Mus musculus: one gene and its partners. The protein of the gene in region 3 interacts with the protein of the main gene of each other region in a pairwise test. Links are inferred from orthologs where the notes say so. Each region holds a gene or a part of one and is shown on either strand. Other genes may lie near its edges.

Region 1 (3,651 bases), on a different chromosome or scaffold from region 3:
GGTCTGAGTCTGCTGCTGTTTCCCCTGGGGCTTCCCTCACCCGGAAGTGCCTCCGTAGCATGCTATTCAGAGCGAAGTCATCCTTCCAGGCATTCTGCGCTTCCTGGATGTGGCTGAGTGTGGGGAGGGCCTTCTTCAGTGTGCTGCGGTCAGCCTCACCATGCTCTAGGCGGAACATGGCATCCGTCTCCAGCTTCTCTTTCTTCTCATGCTCTGCAAGGACCAAATAAGTGTGACTCTGGGGAAGCAGCCAGAGGTCGTGTGGGACGGGCAAGCAGATGGTGCTCACCTGTGGTCAGCACCTGCTCGTTGTCTTCCATGTCCCAACGCTCCTCCTTGCGACTGGCACCACTCACGATGACATAGTCACAGTTGGCAGGGTCTGTTTGCATCTCGATGTAGTTGACACAGAGGTGGCATTTCATCCTGAACCTAGAGAGGAACTGGAGTTAGGATGCTGTGGCTCCATCCTGAGACCCCAGAACCACTGCCCACTTCCTTTGGTGTACTACACACTTCCAGAAGTCACTGAGTATCCCTGCTCACATCTGGGCGAACCCTGAGGAAGACACACAGGCTTGCATACAGATGGAGCAACCAAGAGGCTGAAGGTGGGCCTGGAGGCTCAAAGTATAAAGCCTGCTCAGCATGTTCATGTTGGCTCTCACCTCTAGGGTGACAAAATAGCCCAACAGAACTGGTAGGTGTGCTGGCACCCATTTGTGATCCCAGCACTCCCCAGGCTACACAGTAGGACCCTATCTCCACCTACAGTCCATCACCCAGACACGGAAGCTGGCTCTTTCATTCCTTCGTTTGCTCATTCCTCACCTATCTACCCACCTCCCATCCCCCAGTTCACCCACTCACCTCCCCACCAGTTTATTCATCCACATGTCTATCTACCCATCCATTGCCTGCCCATTGGTCCATCTATGCATCCATCTTCAGATCCATCCACCCACCCATCCTCTCCTTGTTCACTTTCCCACTTATCTAGTCACTCACCTAGGCATCCTCACACCCACCCACCTACCCATCTGTTTACTCCTTCCCACTCCCCTCTACTGGTTCTTCTGTGCCAGGCTGGGTGTCAACAGTTGGGAAAGCTGCTAGTAAGACAATCTGCTCCGGGAGGGGCAGGTGTGCCTGGGGTGAGCATGCCCCAGCAAGAAGAGATACCCCACAAGAGGGGACAGCTTTGCAAAAGGGCAGTGTCGGAGCAGCACAGCGATGGAGCCGTTTAGCTTCTGTGTGGAGGGAGCAGAGATTACAAGGTCTGAAGCAGAGTAAGAGAGCCTAAGCTTTTACTGGGGAAGGTGGGAGCCATGAAAGACTGGAGGAGGTTGACAGGCCAGAACGGATAGTTCTACAGACGACGGCTCTAGAGGAAGGTGCTGCGTTCCCTTTCCCTTCAAGACTCCTCTATAGACTCTTTAGCCCGTGAAGCCACGCCTATCCCTGAAGTGCCACCAGATGCGCCTACCTGTAGATTGGAGTCGTGTAATAGTTGCCAACCTTCTTCTTTTCTGCATTGTAGCGCACACCTGAGAGGGCGGGGAGAGAGAGGCTGGGACCATGACACAGCAGCAGCTTTTCTTTGGGTGGGAGACAGACAAACTGCTGTTTGCTGCCTGGGAGGGCAGGTGCCCTGCAAGGGCCCAGAAGCTCACAGTAGGAAAGAATGAAGTTTGGGAGGCACTGGGGTACCTAGGCTATAGGACAGTGTGGACTGAAACAGAAAGGCCCGGTCCACCCTGCTTCCACTGACTCCCAACTGTGTCCCCTAGGCAAGGTGCCTCATCCCTCTGGACCTCTGTCTCCCATTTCGTCAACAGAGATGAGGGTGAAAATGTCGATGGAGAGATGGGTGTGGGGTATGCCCGTGACCCAGCACTCGGGAGACAGAGGCAAGATGGAGTTTGAGGCTTACCTTGATGACACAGCCAGACCCTGTCTCAAATACATACATACATACTACTCGAGTGAATAAGCTCAGCTTTCATTATTCTTTTCAAAACTATCTGATTTTTCCTGGGAGGTAATATAGTCCTATCTTCTGATTGTGAGTGGCAGGTACTGAGCCTGGGTGCTGCCCATGGCATGGCCCGGCTGCTCCTCTCTGGGGCAGCTGCTTTAGCTTGGGCTAGAGGTGGCCATGAGGTGTCTGGGGGTGGTTCAGCTCCCTGTTTTCAGTCCTGGGAACAGGACCCAGGGTCTTAAACCTGCCCAGGGCCCGATCTCTGCCCCAACAGTGCACACCTTAGGTAGGTCTGGGCTGTGGGCCTCTCACTTTCCTTCCCTTCCCACAGCCACCTTGTCTCCCAGATCTCTGCATCTAGGTTGTCATCTTCATTTCCTGGAGCCTAGCTGACCCTGAGGCAGGTCAAAAACACTACAATCTCTGCCCCATAGCCTAGCCTAGCAACAGCATCTGCCCTTGCTTTTCTGCCCTAGTGATGGATCCAAAGAAAATCCCTGCCCTGCCCTTGCCCAGGATCTGGACCTCAGGGCCTAACCTTCTCATTGCTCTCTGGCTTGGGTACCTGCCACCTTCTGATTTGCCCTTGGGATTGGCAACATCTCCAGTGTCTCATAGTACTTGGCACAGAGGGGGCCGAAGGAGTGGGCAGGGCAGGTGGGGTGGGCGACATCACCCACACTCACCCATGCTCACCCATGGCTGCGCTCACCCATGCTCACCCACACTCACCCATGGCGGCGCTCACCCACGCTCACCCATGCCGATGTGGTTCTTACAGCCGTCACACCAGATGTTGTATGGCATTTCAAATCTAAACAAAGACAAGGACTTTTTATTGTTATTTCCTTTAAAAGTTTTTTCCTACGACTTAGCCACTGTGTGTGTGGTGGTCAGAAGACGACTTTCATGAGTTGGTTCCTTCCTTCTACTACATGGCTGTGGGCACTGCACTCAGGATCTCTGGCTTGGCAACACTTCACCCACTGAGCCATTGCTCCCCCACTCCCTTTTTTCTTAAGATGTATTCTGGCTGTTCATGAACTCTTGGACTTGAGTAGCCCTCCTGTCTCAGGCCACCTAGTCCCGGGTAGGCAGGAGTATACACCTGTACAGGCCCTGGCTGGCCACTCTTTCTTCTGGCTCCTTTCCTTCTCTATCACCCTCTGGCTTGGCCACCCAGAGGAAGAGCCTGGCCCAGCCCTGGAGTCAGGATCTGACCAGACAATGGCAAAGAAGGTTCAATGTGTCACGTTTGGTCCTGGCCTTAAGAGCCCTGGCACTTCTGCTTCTTTTGGAGCCATGGTACTGCTGGTCTGCTGGAAGAGAGACCTGCTGTGGAGCAGTCTATCTGTACAGGCCAAGGCCCCACAGGACTAGTCTTCTGCTTCCTGGTACTCATCAATGAAGGAAGACGGCCTCGTCAGGTCCTTCCAAGCCCAGAAGAGGCACCTAGCCTTGTTATCAGTAAAAACTGTTTATTGTTTTGTTATACAGCAATGGCTGACTGATGCAATGTCTACCAGCTTTATGGAATTATAACGTTCCAGCACTGGGTCAATCAATCAGGGGATATAAGATTGATAGAAACTGGAGATCTTGGGAGAAGGGAGGGGTAGTTTCTTACCGGATAACAAGGATGCCTTGTGAGAGCTTCCGAGCCCGTTCTC
Region 2 (2,835 bases), on a different chromosome or scaffold from region 3:
GGCCACCATGCACTGAAAAATTCTGAGTGATTGTTAAGAGGGTCACAGTTCCCTGGGCATCAAGGAATGACCCTTTGTCTTCCAGTTTAACTGGCCATTGTGCGGTGTAGCCTTCACCCAGAAGCATGCATGGCCTGAGGTACCCATGGGTTATCTAACTTCTCAGAATCCACTCATGTGCTCTCATGCACCCAAAGGAGAGTCAGTTGTTCATCCAAGTTCAAGTTCAGGAGTTCAAAGGCCAGGGCGGGTGGGGAGCAATGTGTGTAGTCAGGAAACTAGGTAGGCTGGAGGAGAGAAGTAACTAATTAGGCCTTTTAGGGCTCAGCTGCCCTGTGGTTCCTGTAGTCTGCTAGCCAGCACACACGGCTGCTCTTTTGGTCAATGGAAGCTAGAAGTCAGGAGTTTTACTTAGAAATTGTTATAGACGTATAACTTACATTAAAAATCTACCATGTTAGCCAGGCAGTGGTGGCACATGCCTTTAATTCCAGCACTTGGGAGGCAGAGGCAGGTGAATTTCTGAGTTCAAGGCCAGCCTGGTCTTCAGAGTAAGTTCCAGGATAGCCAGGGTTACACAGAAAAAACCCTGTCTCAAAAAACAAAACAAAACAAACAAATCTAGCATGTTTGTCTAAGGGTCACATGCAGCAGGGGAGAAAGGCAACTGTGGTTTCCAGTACCTTCCACAGAGACTTCTTGCCCAGCCACTGCAAGGAGGGACCTGAGGCAATTTCTGAGCATCCTGAAGTAGGGAGTGTCCACCTTTTGCACAAGCTGGATAGGTTAGTCATCGAACCCAGGCCTGGCTCCACAAAGCAGGGGCCAAAGGAAGGGACTAGCCTCTTCTCCTTACACTGGATAGTCTGGTGTTGGACAGGGCAATCTTCTTGCAATCCCTGACCTATTTGGGGTACCTTAGAACCTCCTCTTGGCTAGAGAGGATGCTAAAGTGGTGCATTAGGGGATGGAGGAATCCAAGGTGAGACATGCCTCTCCAGCTACTCATGGACCCTCTGGCTGGTGGATCTTCCTGTGAATGACCAGCTGAAACTTCCAGTCAAAGCTACAGCCACAGTCGCGGCAGAAGTGGCGCCGCTGGCCTGCATGGCTCTTGCGGTGGATGACCAGCTGTGACTTCCAGCTGAAGCTGCGCCCACACTCCACGCATGTGTATCCCCGAAGGCCAGGGGAGCGCTTCATGGCCGGCTCCCGGGCCACCTGTGATGGTCTCTCCAGGCCTGGCCCTCTCGTGTGTGTGCGGAGGTGGATGATGAAAACGGACTTCCAGTCAAAGCTGAGGCCACACTGCTCACAAACGTACAGCTTCCGAGGTGTGGGCCTCGCTGGGGCTTCAAGCAGTGGTGTGGGAGACAAGACTGAAGGGTCCTTGCAAGGGCTCTGCCTTTCACTTGGAGTGGCTTGAACTAGCCTTGGATCTGCAATGGCTCCCACTTCTGGGGGATGGCTCCGGAGGGATTCTGGTCCTTCGTGTGGCATCTCCTGTTTTGGTCTCAGCTCAGAGTCAACATGTGTCTCTGGCTGTAGCAGCGGCAGGCTTGCTAGGGTGGAAAGAACGTTCATTTGGGGGCTTGGACACATGGGGGCTTACACAAAAGTATGGGGATGGGAACCTTTTGGTAGAAGAGAGATGCAGCCGGATGCTGGGCCACTGCACTGGGAGCCCCAGTGAGGGCCTAGTACACGTGGGAGGTGTGTGGAGGATGGGACAGGGAAGGCCATTGATCCTCACCCTGGGACACCACTGTGTCGTACTTCTCCGGCATCACACCCCAGCACAGCTCTTTTTGTGATGAGTCCAACAGGCCCCACTCCTGCAAGGATGCAAGCAGTCACTGCCTCTCCCAGGCAGCCTCATACCCCTACCCACCACCCCGTGGCTGGCAGGTTACTGGATCTCCATCTGTAGCAGGCTAAGGACCAAGCCAGTATTGGCATTTGTGAGTTCTGGGTCAGCTTTCATCTGTCCAACCTACCATCCCTGTCTTCTCAGTGGTCTATCTCACTGATGGCCAGAGGACTGAACTTGTGGGTAGGTTTTGGAGAAAGCCACAGTGGCTGTCTATCCTTCTAGTCACTACACTATGAACAGGATGTGATGGAAAGTCAACAAGAGGTCTGGAGACTACCTGAGCTTCAGCTACCTTCTGTCAAGACTGATTAACAAAACTGAAAATTCTTCCTTGGGGTGAGAGATTTTTTTTTTTGGCCTTTATTGGGGTGCCTGTGAGAAAGAGTAGGTCTATGTAGCCCAGGTTGGCCTCAAATGCACTACGTAGCTGAGGATAACTTGAAAGTTCTGATTTTCCAGTCTCTGCCTCCTGAGTTTTGGGATTACCGGTTTATGCAGTGCTGGAGATAGAACCTAGGGCCTAATGCATGCTAGGCAGGCACTCTACCAAATGAGCTACATTTGCAAAACCTTTATTTATTTCATTTTATTTTATTTTTTTAGAAAGAGGACTAAGGAGCCAGGTATGGTAGGTGCACACTTTGATCCCAGTACTCAGAGGCAGAGGCCAGCCTGGTCTACATACTGGGATCCAGGACATTTGGGGCTGAGTAGAGAGATAAAACAAAACAAAAACAAAAACAAAAACAAGGTGCGGTGGGTTGGAAGACTAAGATGAAAAAAGAATAATGAAGCTGGGCATGGTAGAACATACCTTTAATCCCAGCACTCAGGAGTTCCTTGGTCTACAAAGCCAGTCCGGGACAGCTGGGGCTTGTTATTCAAAGAAACCTTGTCTTGAACTGCCCTCCCATACACACACCAAAAAAGAAAAAGAAAAAAGAAAAAAGGAGGAGGAAGAG
Region 3 (3,751 bases):
CTAGCCTGCTGCCTATTACAGCATCCATAGTAAAGTAGTGTAAAAATTTTAATGACTAAAAAGCACAGAAGCGTTTCTTGTTGAGAAAATATGATGTATCTGTCCAGGATCAGCAGGGTCACTTGGTTGGCCAAGGCCTGCTGCCGAGCCTGCTGACCCGAGTCCGATGACCAACAAGTACATAAGCGAAAGCTTACTTCTGCACAAGCCGGACACGACGTGTACACCCCCCCCACACACACACACACAAATAAGATGTAAAAATGTTTTTTTAAAATGATTTATGGGCATTGGTGGTTTTTCTTGCATGTATGTCTGTGTGAAGGTGTCAGACCCCTTGGAACTGGAGTTACACACAGTTGTGAACTGCCATGTGGGTGCTGGGAATTGAACTCAGGACCTCTGGAAGAACAGCCAGTGCTCTTAACCACTAAACCATCTCTCCAGCCCCATTAATATGTTTAAATTTTGTGTATATAAGTCATTAAATTTAATTGTGGTTCAGGCTATAATGGTAAGAGTTGACAGCATTCAATGATTTCAGCTAAGATCTAAAACAACGTAATATTTACTATCTTGTCCATTCTTGGAAAAAAAAAGATTGCCAATCTGTGACATATGGTCAACCAAAGGTAATTTAATAACCTAAGGAATCCAGGTAAGAAGCCATCTATCTCAGTGGTCTCCAAATGCTCTGAAGCTTGGGACTGGAAAGCTGGTCCAGCAATTAAGAAGGTGTTCCCTTGCAGTGGACCCTGGTTTGTTTCCAGCACCACAAGCCTCTCTCTTCTAACCTCCTTAGGCACCAGGCAAACACGTGGTACAAATATACATAAGATAACAAACTAAACATTCAGAGCGGTGGGACATGTATAACTTTTTTTCCCCCATTTATTTTGTGCTGGAATGCATCAGCACAGGCGTGGAGGTCAGAGGACAACAGGCAGGAGTTAGTTCCTCCCTCCTGCTATGTGCAATCTGGGATCTTAGGAGCAAGGCCCCTACCCGATGAGCCACCTAGCCCATCCCACTTTTCTTTTCATTTTTTGCAAACCTGGAGTAGGAAACAGATCAACCACAGCCCCAGCCCGAACCCCCCGGATTAGAGACTTATCCAGGGACCTTACACACCCTCCTCTACTGCTGAGCTAACTCTCGGAATTGTGCATAAATACTATGTTGTTTGTTTAGGAACTCCCTAAACTTAAAATATATGTGAGAAATGTTCACTAGTAGCTAGCTATGTGTCCTAAATCTGTAACCTCAACACGGAGGCAGAAGCAAGGTTATCCTCGTCTACATGGCAAACCCAACCTGGGCTAGTAGATCTGTCACAAACTCTGCTTTACACAGTTCAGTAACCGATCGCATAACACTGCGGAAGAAGCTATTTCACATAACATGCAAATGTTACTCAGGCATCCACCACACCATATATACATTTAAACTTACAGTAACAAGTATCAGCTGCAGCAAATTCTATTAGGAAAAAGCACTTACAGTTCTCAGTGGACAGGAGTCTTTTTTCCTCAGTCAGCTTCCCTAACTTTTCCTTCGGGGAAATTTGAACTACTTTCTGGTCCTTTTGGTATTTGCAAAATCATAACCGTGCCACGGATAACAGCACATAGACACTCTTAACTCTACAGCTACTGTTTAATCAATCAGAGCCAAGAACCAAAAAACCAGAAACTTAACAAAACCTTACTGAAACCGGTCAAGGTGAAGACAAAGGATGAGAAAATGCTGTATCAAACTGACAGGTCATATAGATAAGAGTGGGATGGCCTGAGAACAAAATCCAAGTTATTTGTTCTTATTCCTGGAGCCGACTCTTATCAACAGCTCACGTATTTCTACATAACAGAAACTGCTTTTTCTTTTACTTTGTACTGCACCAAGCTCGTGGAATGTGCAATCCGGCACTCGGCAGGATCCAGGTCTTCAGCGACCTCCCGCCTCACAGCGCCGTGCCCAGCCTGCCCCAGCAACTCGGCCGTCCTCTTCCCAGCATTCACCAGGAGGGCCGCAGAGGCCCCGCCACACTGGACAGGCACTTCCGCCCGGGACCAGCAGGACTACAAATCCCAGTAGGTGGTGCGCGAGAACCGCCGGATCCCACTTCAGCTTGAGCGTCTCCCAGAATCCTACGCGAGCCGCCAGAGCCTCGAAATAGAACAAAACCGGCCCGTGGGGGAGGGGAAAGCAGGGCGGCGAGGATGCGGGCGCCGGGGGCTCTGCGGACCCCCGAAGTGCAGCAGGCCGCCGCGGCCCTTCCGCCGCGGCCTTCTGTGCGCACGCCCGGGATGCCGAGCGACGCCGGCCTCCCGGCCCCTACCCGCGCCCTCCTCCTCGAGCCCTACCCCCGCGCGCCGCTGACCTCTGGCTCGGGACCCGCCGCAGCCTCGTCGTCCCGGGCAGACGCAGCGCCGCCGCTTCCAGCCGCTTCCCACAAGCCCCCGGCGCGCACGGCTTCCGGTCCGCAGGACGGGGGGCGGGAGGGAAATGGGGGAGCCGATGCCCGGGGTTGCCATGGGGACGCGCGGTGAGCGGGGGAGGTGCGGCTTGATGACAATGGCCGCATTGAGGCTGCGCTTGGCCTGGCGCCTTTCGCAGAGTGACTGTTGCTCTCTGTTCCACTCCAGAGAAAGGAGAGGGGAGCAAGAGGGACGTGGGCGGCAGTTCCACGAGTGCCCGGTACTCCTCTCCGGAGCCCTCTGGTTAACTGACGAAAGAGAACATTTCTGAAAGTGTGCTGTAATCGGGTCAACCGCAGTCGCTACGTGTAAATCGGTTACATTGCCCCCGCACCCTATAGTGTTTGCTACTTAGGAGCTTTGGGCCCTGACACAAGGTTTGCCTCTAACCATGCCTCAAACCATCGTCCTCCACTAGCTGTGTCTCAGAGACTACGACAGGTTATCAAAGAAACAAGATGAAACTAGTTGAGGCCTTTGGCTAGTCACAGAGAATTGCAGAATACACGCATGCTGGTTGTTTAAGGCAGCTGCAGGTGTAGTCACTTAGATCGCCGTATTCCCCTTTTTAAAGTCCTCTAGTGGATCTCAGCTACCTTAACTATTGACAGAAATTTGTTACGTTGTCCCGTAGGTTGTCTATGGTCTGTTGCCTGCCTTTTCCTTCTGACCGTGATTGTGCATGACTCTTATTAAGCATGGGACTTATTGTGCAGCCTCAGCCTCACTGACCAATGAATGCCCTTTCCTCCAGGTGGCCTCCATATGCTTGTGGCCACCCTTAGAAGTGATCTTCTAACTTAGCTGTGCTTTGTTTGAAAGTCCTGTAAAGTTGGGTCCTCTAGGTCCTGGTTAGCACAGTACCCACACCTAGTTTCTGGATGCTGACTGGTACATAGAAAACTCAGTAAGTACACTTTGAATAAGTGAATGAATTGTAGGCTGGTCACATTGCATGAGGCCTTTGCTAGGTCACATGTCAAGTCTCAGAAATCGCACAAAAGAGCTCTGTTTTGAAAATACTCTTGTAAGAAGCATAGGTCAAGTTTGCAGAACATTGAAGCGGTCCTCAGGCTTTGCCCTATTGTCTCATTCAGGAAAGGGCCTCTGCAGAGTGTCCTCGCCTCTGCTCCCGTAGTGAATGAGAGAGCAGTAAACAGGCAGCTGACAGAATAGCAAGACTCAACGTTCCAGCCGGAGCTCACCTTCCCATAACCTCTGGAACTTTCCTCTCTTCACTATGAGACTCTAATACAGCCTTTTTACCCTCGGGT

What was found.
Region 1: the proteins of Zfp24 (region 3) and Ccdc130 interact in binary tests that used the Homo sapiens proteins (3 or more experiments, as listed by UniProt). The two-hybrid records come from large-scale screens. The link is inferred for Mus musculus from reciprocal best matches to the Homo sapiens genes ZNF24 and YJU2B.
Region 2: the proteins of Zfp24 (region 3) and Zfp446 interact in binary tests that used the Homo sapiens proteins (3 or more experiments, as listed by UniProt). The link is inferred for Mus musculus from reciprocal best matches to the Homo sapiens genes ZNF24 and ZNF446.

The regions. Positions count from the first base shown.
Region 1 is NC_000074.6:84,260,254-84,263,904, forward strand, and holds part of Ccdc130 (coiled-coil domain-containing protein 130), read right to left. Parts: coding exon 3,609-3,651; intron 2,796-3,608; coding exon 2,740-2,795; exon of another isoform or gene 2,718-2,739; coding exon of another isoform or gene 2,714-2,717; intron 1,548-2,713; coding exon 1,487-1,547; intron 433-1,486; coding exon 290-432; intron 214-289; coding exon 41-213; intron 1-40. UniProt on the Homo sapiens protein: May be involved in mRNA splicing.
Region 2 is NC_000073.6:12,980,846-12,983,680, reverse strand, and holds part of Zfp446 (zinc finger protein 446), read right to left. Parts: intron 1,836-2,835; coding exon 1,754-1,835; coding exon of another isoform or gene 1,698-1,753; exon of another isoform or gene 1,563-1,697; coding exon 1,006-1,562; 3' UTR 1-1,005. UniProt on the Homo sapiens protein: May be involved in transcriptional regulation.
Region 3 is NC_000084.6:24,018,332-24,022,082, forward strand, and holds the start of Zfp24 (zinc finger protein 24), read right to left. Parts: upstream 2,483-3,751; 5' UTR 2,381-2,482; intron 2,040-2,380; exon of another isoform or gene 1,501-2,039; intron 1-1,500. UniProt on the Homo sapiens protein: Transcription factor required for myelination of differentiated oligodendrocytes. Required for the conversion of oligodendrocytes from the premyelinating to the myelinating state.